Mus musculus: one gene and its partners. The protein of the gene in region 3 binds, or shares a complex with, the protein of the main gene of each other region. Links are inferred from orthologs where the notes say so. Each region holds a gene or a part of one and is shown on either strand. Other genes may lie near its edges. The genes, in order: Cdh5, Prkcz and Pard3.

Region 1 (3,652 bases), about 23 Mb from region 3:
TAGCCTGGGTAAGACCCTTGGTGTGTGTGTGTGTGTGTGTGTGTGTGTGTGTGTGTGTGTGTATGTGTGATAATACAAAGAGACAATTGTCTTATCTATCTCATTAACTCTTTGCGGTATCCTATGCACATTAGCCACATACACATTTTCGGTGCCTGAAGACATCCGAGTGGGCAAGCCCTTGGGCTTTCTGACTGTTGTGGACCCAGATGAGCCTCAGAACCGGATGACCAAGTACAGCATCATGCAGGGCGAGTACAGGGACACCTTCACCATTGAGACAGACCCCAAACGTAACGAGGGTATCATCAAACCCACGAAGGTACGTAGACCTGCAGAACCGAGCCCATTCATGGGCTATGGAGTTTGCAGGATCCAAAAGACATGCTCAGGGATCACTTCTGAGCCACAGGTCATTGAAGGCAAAGGTTCTGGTACAGCTCAGAGCGGGCCACGAACTCGTGGAGACTGTAACCCACAGTCTCAGCCTGAATTGTTCCAGAGATAGAGGCAATACTTTGGGTGTGACATGTTTCTTTGGGCCGTAATCCCTAAAAGCCTCAGGAGCAAGGATAGGTGGCAATCAGTGATGAACAGGTTCGAGTGGGGCCCAGACCCATAGGGGCTATCTAGAGCATGTCTCAGAGTTGCCACAGGAAGATCAGGCTCTGGAATAAGCAGCCACAAACCCTGCAGCACTCACAGACAACACTTGTTCTAGTCTCATTTCTCATATTGTGATAAAAATAACCTTGACCAAAAGCAACTTTGGAAAAGGGGTGTATTCGATTTACAATTCCAAGCTGAGTCCATTGTTATGGAAAAGTCACAATGGCAGGAACTTGAGACAACTGGTCGCATCACATCCGCGTCAAAAGCAGAAGGAAATGAAAGCACGCATACTTTCTGTCTGTGGCTTTGGCTATCAGTCAGCTTTCTCCTCTCATACGGTTCAGAACCAGGCCTAGGGAATGGTGCTCCCCACAATGGGTTGGGCCTTCCTACACTAATTAACAATCAAGATAACCACCCCCCACCCCCCACCCCCACCCAAACAAGCCCATATGTAACATGATCTAGGCAATCGGTTCCCTTCTCAGGTGATTTCAGATTAAACAGCAAGGTGACACTTAAAAACTCACCAGCATTAACTCCCTGTGTCCCAACAGTAGAAATCTATCATACTGACAGGATGGATCATCTTTTCTAAAACAATAAAGACTTTGGAACTGGGGGAAAAAAATAAAAGAAATCTATCATCATATATGTAAAGAATGTATACCTGAGGGCACAAGTAGCCATGGACAGTGGCTGCTGCAGGCAGCAAATGGTCTGATCGACTGAATCCAGAAGAGGGAGAGGAGCTTTCATGCTTCCAGGATTTTCAGGTAGAGGACTGAGAACACACAGCCAGCCAGCAGAGTCCACAACGCTCTCAGACAGTAGGGAAGATAGACATACAAACAACAGCAACAACAAAAAGCTGTAACTGGTATATCCAAGGCTGCAGAATATTGCCAGAGAAGAAGGTGTTACTGTCTAGAGTACTTTCTGAGAGGGTCTCTTACACCTGCTCAATAGCAAACTGCTACCCCTTCCTCACGATGAACAGGAAGAAAAGTTGCTAGGCAGACAAACCCAGGAGGAGTCTCTTCTCAAAACCAGGAAAGGTACTACTACCTTTGAATAGAACCACTAGGTCATTGCCCCCTTGAGAGGAGGACTGGGCCTAAGTGTGTCCTTGATTCATAGAACAGGACCAGGTACAGAGGCGGGGCCGGTAAAACGAGAAGCACTAATATCAGTCACCATACTTCTCACCCATGCAGTCCCTGGACTATGAAGTCATCCAGCAGTACACATTCTACATTGAGGCCACAGACCCCACTATCCGATACGAATACCTGAGCAGCACTTCAGGCAAAAACAAAGCCATGGTCACCATCAACGTCCTAGATGTGGATGAGCCCCCTGTCTTCCAGCGACACTTCTACCACTTCAAGCTGCCAGAAAACCAGAAGAAACCGCTGATCGGCACTGTGGTGGCCAAAGACCCTGACAAGGCTCAGCGCAGCATCGGGTATGGAAGTGGTGGGTGTGAGGTGATAATGCCATGGTGATCCTGGCATCGGCATTCTTATGCCTGATGGTCTGAGATCAAGGCTCAAGGGAGGACACTGTCTCCCAGAACCTCCATGGAAAGATGCTGAGGCTAGACCCTGGCTCTTTCCACTCATATCCTTGTCCCGCCAGCTCCTGTCTTGTCTATCTTGTCTGGTCCAGGCCATCCTCTGTTCTTTAAAGGACTTTAGGCCTTGACTCACATAGCTCCTGTCTAATGAGGTCATCAAGCAGGAATGGGTTATCTGAAGCCCTGTCACCAAAAAATAGTTTCGAGATATTTCTCCCAAGACAAAAAGCCAGAGTGTTGCTTTCACTTGCTGAAACCACACACTTCTATAAAGAGATCTATGGTAGTTCCCGCTCCCATCTGGTCCTCAAGTAGGCTGAGTGTTCTTTTCTTCATGGCCACATGAACCAACTGATGCACAGATGCTGTGTTCGTTGTTCCTGTTTGTGGTTTTGCTGCCATTTGCTTTGGATCATGTTCTGCACAGTCCGTCAATCCTAGCCCGTTTTCCATTGTTACAACTTCGTAGCGTGGGCTGGATAATTTATGAACTGCAGAGCTCTATTTATCTTAAGGGTCTACAGGCTTGGAAATCCAAGGGCACAGTGCCAGCACCTGATTGCCATCTAATGAGGTTTTGCTTGCTGCAACATGGGAAGACCTAATGAGCTTGGCAGTGTAGGTCTTTCTTCATCTTCTTATAAAGCCACTAAGCCACCATGGGGGCCCATCCTCATGACCTAATCCTTTTTTTTTTTTCCATTTTTTATTAGGTATTTAACTCATTTACATTTCCAATGCTATACCAAAAGTCCCCCATATCCACCCACCCCCACTCCCCTGCCCACCCACTCCCCCTTTTTGGCCCTGGTATTCCCCTGTACTGGGGCATATAAAGTTTGCAAGTCCAATGGGCCTCTCTTTCCAGTGATGGCCGACTAGGCCATCTTTTGATATATATGCAGCTAGAGTCAAGAGCTCCGGGGTACTGGTTAGCTCATAATGTTGTTCCACCTATAGGGTTGCAGATCCCTTTAGCTCCTTGGCTACTTTCTCTAGCTCCTCCATTGGGAGCCCTATGATCCATCCATTAGCTGACTGTGAGCATCCACTTCTGTGTTTGCTGGGCCCCGGCATAGTCTCACAAGAGACAGCTACATCTGCGTCCTTTCAATAAAATCTTGCTAGTGTATGCAATGGTGTCAGCGTTTGGATGCTGATTATGGGGTGGATCCCTGGCTATGGCAGTCTCTACATGGTCCATCCTTTCATCTCAGCTCCAAACTCCGTCTCTGTAACTCCTTCCATGGGTGTTTTGTTCCCAAATCTAAGGAGGGGCATAGTGTCCACACTTCAGTCTTCATTCTCCTTGAGTTTCATGTGTTTAGCAAATTATATCTTATATCTTGGGTATCCTAGGTTTGGGGCTAATATCCACTTATCAGTGAATACATATTGTGTGAGTTTCTTTGTGAATGTGTTACCTCACTCAGGATGATGCCCTCCAGGTCCATCCATTTG
Region 2 (3,652 bases), on a different chromosome or scaffold from region 3:
AGAGACAAGAGCAGTCAACCCTTAAACCATGTTCCCCTGAGATGCTCACCTGCCCTATATCTGACTGGGCACCTACCCCATGGATCCTCTCTTTGTTCATCTAAGCCAGGATGGCTCACAACTCTTTGTTCTCCCCTTATCCCATGCTCCATCAGACGTTCCTGTGCTCCCTTAGTCCTCCCCTTGCTCCATCAGTTCTCTCTGTGCTCCATCAGTTCTCTCTGTGCTCCCTTAGTCCTCCCCTTGCTCCATCAGTCCTCCCCTTGCTCCATCAGTCCTCTCTGTGCTCCATCAGTCCTCTCTGTGCTCCATCAGTTCTCTCTGTGCTCCATCAGTTCTCTCTGTGCTCCATCAGTCCTCCCCTTGCTCCATCAGTCCTCTCTGTGCTCCATCAGTCCTCTCTGTGCTCCATCAGTCCTCCCCTTGCTCCATCAGTTCTCTCTGTGCTCCATCAGTTCTCTCTGTGCTCCATCAGTCCTCTCTGTGCTCCATCAGTTCTCCCTGTGCTCCATCAGTTCTCTCTGTGCTCCATCAGTCCTCTCTGTGCTCCATCAGTCCTCTCTGTGCTCCATCAGTTCTCTCTGTGCTCCATCAGTCCTCTCTGTGCTCCCTTAGTCCTCCCCTTGCTCCATCAGTTCTCTCTGTGCTCCATCAGTTCTCTCTGTGCTCCATCAGTTCTCTCTGTGCTCCATCAGTCCTCTGCTTCCTCTTTGGTCACTTTTTTCTCCTATCCCTAACTCCAAGGCCTCTGGCCTTCATCTCTACCTTATGGTGACTTTTTTTAACCCCTAAAACAGACCTAGCACCATTGGGAACACAGAGATGAACAGATAGGTGAATGAACACCCAACTCTATCTCTTTGTTTCTGTGTTTATTTATTTGTTTTTTTTTCCCCCCGAGTCACGGTTTCTCTGTGTAGCCCTGTCTGTCCTAGAACTCACTCTGGAGCCCAGCTGCCTGCCTCTGCCTCCCAAATGCTGGGATTAAAGGAATGAGTGTACCGGCACTGTCCAGCCTAAGTCTATTCCTAATTTTCCAAAAACAGTGTCCTACCTTGGCATCATGTGATGAAGCCACACCCATCATCCAACATGGTCTTGGACCCCAAATGTCAATCTGAAACCATGCGTCACACCTCACTGGTCCAAACGTCAAACTCAGCCTCAGCCTCCCTTTCACCTTGAGGTTTTCCCTGACCCCAGGAGCTCCCAGGTACCCCATCACCTCTTTGTTTTGTTCACTTACAAATCTCTGTAAGAGGCAGCCGGTCAGCACCCAGGGGTGACTCAACCCAAAGCTAAAAAAGCGACCCCCGCGGAGGTTCCATGCACTCTGGCCTTTTGGTGGTGACCTCGCCTACAGCATGTTTCGGGTTTTGGTTCCTGACCCGTTGCCCTTCTCTCCTGCCCAGGTTGTTCCTGGTCATCGAGTATGTCAATGGCGGGGACCTCATGTTCCACATGCAGAGGCAGAGAAAACTTCCAGAGGAGCATGCCAGGTGAGTCCATGGCCGGGGACTTCTCCTCAGGAGGCCAGCAGGGAGAAGAGGGGGGCAGATTTGGGCAGAAGGTGGCAGAGATGAGAGCTTCCCATGGTATAAGACAGTCCAAACCCTCAGGGGGAATCTTGGGAGCTTTGTGCCCAGGACTGGTCCCTCTCCAGACTTTGAGCAGAAGGCCCTCACCCAAGACGAGTGGCTCCCCAGCTGTTTGGTTTGGCTCTGTCCTCTTCCCTTAAAGTCCACGTTCCCTCAGCAGTAGAGTACAGCAGGCCTTCACTAGCATCAGGAGAGGCTCCCTGGTCCCGTCTCTGGCCTTGAACAGCTGCCATCCAGCCCCCTGTCCTCGTGCTTCCCCTGGATGGCCCCCTCCTCCGTAAATTACCTTAGTTTTCCCCACGAAGTCCTGTGAGTCACCGAGGCCGCTTTTGGGGAAAGTGGGCAGAAACTCAACAACAGCTTCTTGCCCGTCCACTTGCTTTTTATAAAACTCATGGTTAAACGCACACAGCGTTCATGTTGCCGTGTTGGCCAGATAGTTCAGTAGATAGTTAAGTGCCAGGAAGTTGATTATCACACTGCTGTGCAGCCACCACCACACATAGAGCCCCTTTATGTCGCACACTGGAACCCTGCTCCTGTGAATGCCGACTGCCAGGCTCTTCATCTCCGGCCCTCCTGTCCGATTCCAGAGAGCGCCCCAAGTATCTTCTCGTATATCAGACTTGGCGTGATGTTGTCTTCATGATTCACCACATAGCCTTTCCTTTTGAAGGTTGAGGTGTCCAACCCAGTGCTTGAGACCCCCACTTCTGATTCTTTTCTCCTTCCAGTTTTTAAAATCCGCATACAGGGTAACGGATCTCATAGAGGCGTTTCCTCATATCCACTGTTCTTACTGGGCCTCCTCCACTGTCTCCAGCCTCAGGCATACTGTGTTAGTGGCATTGTTTGATACACACCACTTTCTGGTTCTCATGCTTATTCACTTGTTTGTTCTGGTGCTGGGGACCATACTTATGTAAGCAAGGCAGGAGCTTTCCCACTGAGATGCACATGGCCCTAGCTCTCATGTTCTGAGGGACCTTCCTCTAGTCACATTTTTCATTCTCACCTACTATTCGTGCGATGTCCAGTGTCCCATGTTCCCTTCACTTACTCTGGCTGTGATAAGTAGCCATTCTGGTGGGTGGGAGGTGGAATCTCACTATAATGTACATTTGCATTCCCCTGTGACCAGGGATACATTGTGGGGCTCTATGTGTACCAGCCTCTGGCTGCCTGCCTGCCACCGTCTCCCTGCTGACTACAGAATTCCCCCCCCCCAATACCTCAGGTTCTATGCTGCTGAGATCTGTATCGCTCTCAACTTCTTGCATGAGAGGGGGATCATCTACCGGGACCTAAAACTGGACAACGTCCTCCTTGATGCCGACGGACACATTAAGCTGACGGACTACGGCATGTGCAAGGTGCCCGCCTCACCTGTCCCCCAACTCGATTGTCTGCCCTTGACACCCCGCAGGAGTATTCACTGATGGGGCATAGCTCAGTGGTGACCAAACTGAGGCACCCCTGTCTGTAACTTAATGTCAGTGTTCCTAAGGAGAGCTGCTTCATGTGAGATTTACCTTCCTGGTAACTGTCCCCACAGGAAGGTCTAGGCCCCGGTGATACAACAAGCACTTTTTGTGGAACCCCGAACTATATCGCCCCCGAAATCCTGCGAGGAGAAGAGTACGGTGAGTGTGAGCCACGAGGGAGGTAAATGTAGGTGGACACCTTCCAGAAGTCTCCCCCAGCTGGTGACATTCTTCACTCAGAGCAAGAACCTGTCTGGCCCACCCTACAGTGGCCCTGGCAGGGAGATATATGGCCAAATTATACCCAAAAATAACACAGAACACCCCTCAGGGTTTCCCAGCTGGTTACCCGTTGCATACTCCCTGAGGCCCACCAGATGACACTGAATAACATTCCTCTCTCTGAGGAGTCCTAAGGCCAGGGAGGAGAAAAAGGAACATGAAGCAACGACAAGAAAGCCCAGGTTTGGGTCACAGAACCTCAAGTTGGCTGGCCACTGGCCACTGGCCATGCATATGTGGAAGAAACAAAGTGCCCTTGGGAATGGCAGAAGTGCCCCCATTGGGCTC
Region 3 (3,652 bases):
ACTTCTAAAGAGCAATTTCTATTTGAGAGCATTTACTTCTTGGGCTACGTTTCAGTTAATAGGATGTCAAAGGGATGGCCATGGTGAGAAGGATGAAGAGACACACGGGGTCAAGAGTGGAGAAGAGTAGCCGAGCGTGACACGGGGTTCACATAAAAATGAATCAAAATGTGTAACACTCGAGAACGCTGACCAAAAATTATGAGTTGAAGAGAGAAAAGAACAGAAATGAATCTCAGTAGTTCCTGAAACGAAACACGCCAGAAACATTCTCAGGCTCAGACCAAACCCTCTATGCCCAACCGGAAACCACGTTCAGATTGACTGTTAGGTTTCTGCTATTGTCTGTCCTGAAGCCTTGAATGGCAAGCTGTCTGTATGAATTTTACTAATTATTCTTCTGAGGCTGTCCCATATGTCTCTGTGCCTTCACGAGACTCTAATGGCTGGCAATAACATCTATTAAGAAGGGATTTTAAATTATTCTCTTTGGCAATATTAATTCATACAAACAACAAAGATGGACTATTATATGAACCACAATTCTATTAAAATAACAGCAGTAACCCCTAAATCTATGAGTCAGAAGTTCAGGCAATGACCTTTAAGGGAAAGATAAATAGATGTCAATTTTCATCTGGTGAAGCCAACAAGACATTCTGCTCTGATGGAAACAGATTACTAACCTTCTCCTCTCGCTTTATTAAAAAGCTAATTTCTACAAAAGAGCAGGGGATTTGAGAATGCCAGAGCAGTAATAAATATTAAGAAATCATAATTATTGAAGCAAGTGAGTTGGGGCTTCTCTGTATTGTAGCCTCATGTGACAGAGTTCCAAAATTATTTCAGTGAGTGATCATCCCAGAGACTTCTCTTTTTAGTACAAAGCATTGACTCCAGCTTGCAAATTAATATCACTTAGAGCACAAAGGTTTACTTTGAGTTGAACATATATTTTACATGATCACACTATTTTTAATGGGCTTCATAAAAGTCCCTCAATGTTACAAGAACTGGTAAAGAAAAACCATAATTTTCCAGCTACAAGGAAATGTTTAATTCTAAAGCAATCATTATGGCCATATCTGTATTCAGTCCTAATCAAAGACAATCAATGTTCACTTCCTTCATAAGTATAGTCAACACAATCTGTTTATGTAAAACATCTGTAGGCACTGCTGTAAAGGCAGCAGCCACTTCTGTTGCATATCTTCTCTGCTGGTTAACAAAAATTAATATAAATCTATGGGATGCTGCATCATTCAGATTAGCAAAAATCTGAGAAAGATTTAAATAAAACCCACCACTTTCAATTTTCTTTTATGAATGAAGATTAGACTTCCTGAATTAGTCTAATAAACAGCTTCCATCTTTCTAAATGATACAAAGCAAAGCTAATATTATTAAAACACTAAGAAAATATTGACTCCTTTAATAGTAAGTAAAATGACCCTCAATGAATGAGCCCACCTTACATCATAATTTGTCATACTTATTATTTGTGCAAAACTTCAATTGATTGAATGAATGTTCCTCCTTCAGTAAAGAGACGTATGATGTTATAAATAGTATTATTTATGAAGTAGTCAGACACTGGCTAAGTGAATACCGTCTTTGTCTAGGGAATAGGAGCGGGAGCTTTATTTTTCATACACCACTGTTGTGGCACTTGACATATTTTTGGTTAAAACCCAAAGCCTGTCACTTGAGTGGAGAGAGGAGAATGTGAATTGGACCATCCCCTCCCTGACAATAGACAGAAAACAGCGCACTTCCCATACAGCTTGCAAAGCGTAGAAGCACGGTGTCAAGTCCTGTCTGTGCCAATCAAGTATTGGTGGCTCAAAAAGCCAATCATCAGAAGCTATGGCTCAAAGTTCAGTGAAAGAATTGTTCGAGGAAGGAGACAGCAGGTGCACAGCATTTCCAGTGCTACCCCCATGGAAAGGAGAATGAGCTGAATGCCACAGTATGAAAGACATGCGGGCAAGGGTTTGCCATCCACAGCGGCCCAGCACAAGTTAGTCATTATGGACGGCTCTCCAGCCCCTACTGGAGCCGGCTGAGCTCAGAAAGGCATTTTCTTCTTAAATAAAGCTATAATTTGAAAGGCACGGTTTTGAAATGCTCAGCTAAAAGAATACACAGTAAGCAAAGTGTGTCTTATCCTTGACAGAATGCCATTGGCCATCTGAAGGTCAAGTGTGGCTGTCACTCTGCATAATAGAGAAGACTAACTGTAAGCATGACCCCATGTACATGGATCTGCCATGTTCCCATGCGCACTTATTTGTCACCTACAGGAAGGAGCTACATAAGTCAATCACTGAAAGTGGGGAAGACTTAGCAGCACCCATCACCATTATCTGTCACCATCAAGGAAATGAAGTAATATTTTAGAAAACAAAGAGCAAACAGACAACTCAAACATAGGTGCCCTTTCCTATGACATGCTGAAGACTACACAGAGACCTCTCACATCCTACTGAATGCAATGTCTTGGCCAATCAAGACAGTCAGACCTCCATTATTATTCTAGACATTGAAGGAAAACCTGTAACCAATTTTTAGTATAAAAAAAAAAATGCTACCCTAGGAATAATAGCTAATTCTTGTAAACATGTGTTGTAACTTCTTCTGAACCTTTACATTTTAATCATATTTCTTGTCCATTTATGTGTACACATATGTAGGCAATTGCATATGTATCTCTCTCTGTGTGTGTGTGTGTGTGTGTGTATGTGTGAGAGTGTGTGGACCAGAGGTTAGAGTGCAGTGTTTTCCTCAAACATTCTCTGACTTATGTTTCGAGACAGTCTCTTCCTGAACCTGGACCTTGGCAGTGTGTCTAGACTGGTTAGTCGCATAGAAAGCCACCTGCCCCCCTCCCAACCACCCCCCAACCCATCAATGCCTGGCTCTTATGTAAATATTGGGAATCTGAACTCAGGTCCTCATGCATCTACAACAAGCACTTTACCACCAAATCCATCTCCATAGCCCTTTGTGTGTTTTAAGGTTGAGTAGGAATAAAGATCAGGGCAGAGTATCCTGCAAACAGGGAGCCTTGGGCTTTATTCTGAGCACTACACACTTCACAGAGGAAGATAACAACAAAGGAACACACCTATCCCCACCTCAGTACCCAAGGTACTCTCTTTAAGTAGTTGCTCATCTTCTTAAAGAAATGCGACTAAATGCATCCTACCTTTCTTAAGCTGGATGTTGAGCCTCTTGCCTACTTTCTTCGTGTTGTACACACTGCCTACGTTGGTACTAAGCACACTGGGTGGAGCCAAGGCCGGGGCTGCGGGTGGTTTGGTTGAGGCGTGAGCACTATGAGGTAGTCGGGGGTGAGCATCCAGCTGCTCGGGTGGCTGACTCAGTCTGGGTGCTCTGGGCAATGCTTGAGGGGCATTGTTGGCCACACTCCTGTTGGCCACACAGTGGCTGTCAGGGCTGAAGCGGCCTGGGGAGTAGTTGTTCTTCTCGCGTTGGGACAGTTGTTCATATTGCTCCTTGTTTGCTGCAGGGACCACATGGAACCAAATGACACGCGCACGCATAGCTTGGCGGAACATATGTTGTGCTCTGCATTTGACAAAGAGTGGAAGATTAGCAAATGAAGACCAGCAGAGCAGAAGATAACATG

Evidence for each region.
Region 1: the proteins of Pard3 (region 3) and Cdh5 are in contact, whole or in part, in an NMR structure (PDB 2KOH), measured with the Mus musculus proteins. Residues at the interface, in NP_296369.2 of Mus musculus: Ala599, Gly600, Leu601, Gly602, Val603, Ser604, Val605, Lys606, Gly607, Arg609, Lys611, Lys622, Ile625, Asn655, Gln656, Met659, Arg663, Met666; in NP_033998.2 of Mus musculus: Tyr774, Gly775, Asp777, Gln779, Glu780, Glu781, Leu782, Ile783, Ile784.
Region 2: Pard3 (region 3) and Prkcz share a complex: the UniProt entries of both Homo sapiens proteins name them as parts of the par polarity complex. The link is inferred for Mus musculus from reciprocal best matches to the Homo sapiens genes PARD3 and PRKCZ.

What each region holds. Positions count from the first base shown.
Region 1 is NC_000074.6:104,129,078-104,132,729, forward strand, and holds part of Cdh5 (cadherin-5 preproprotein), read left to right. Parts: intron 1-134; coding exon 135-322; intron 323-1,829; coding exon 1,830-2,080; intron 2,081-3,652. UniProt on the Homo sapiens protein: Cadherins are calcium-dependent cell adhesion proteins. They preferentially interact with themselves in a homophilic manner in connecting cells; cadherins may thus contribute to the sorting of heterogeneous cell types.
Region 2 is NC_000070.6:155,270,788-155,274,439, reverse strand, and holds part of Prkcz (protein kinase C zeta type), read left to right. Parts: intron 1-1,412; coding exon 1,413-1,499; intron 1,500-2,835; coding exon 2,836-2,971; intron 2,972-3,153; coding exon 3,154-3,241; intron 3,242-3,652. UniProt on the Homo sapiens protein: Calcium- and diacylglycerol-independent serine/threonine-protein kinase that functions in phosphatidylinositol 3-kinase (PI3K) pathway and mitogen-activated protein (MAP) kinase cascade, and is involved in NF-kappa-B activation, mitogenic signaling, cell proliferation, cell polarity, inflammatory response and maintenance of long-term potentiation (LTP).
Region 3 is NC_000074.6:127,371,435-127,375,086, reverse strand, and holds part of Pard3 (partitioning defective 3 homolog), read right to left. Parts: intron 3,592-3,652; coding exon 3,209-3,591; intron 1-3,208. UniProt on the Homo sapiens protein: Adapter protein involved in asymmetrical cell division and cell polarization processes. Seems to play a central role in the formation of epithelial tight junctions. Targets the phosphatase PTEN to cell junctions.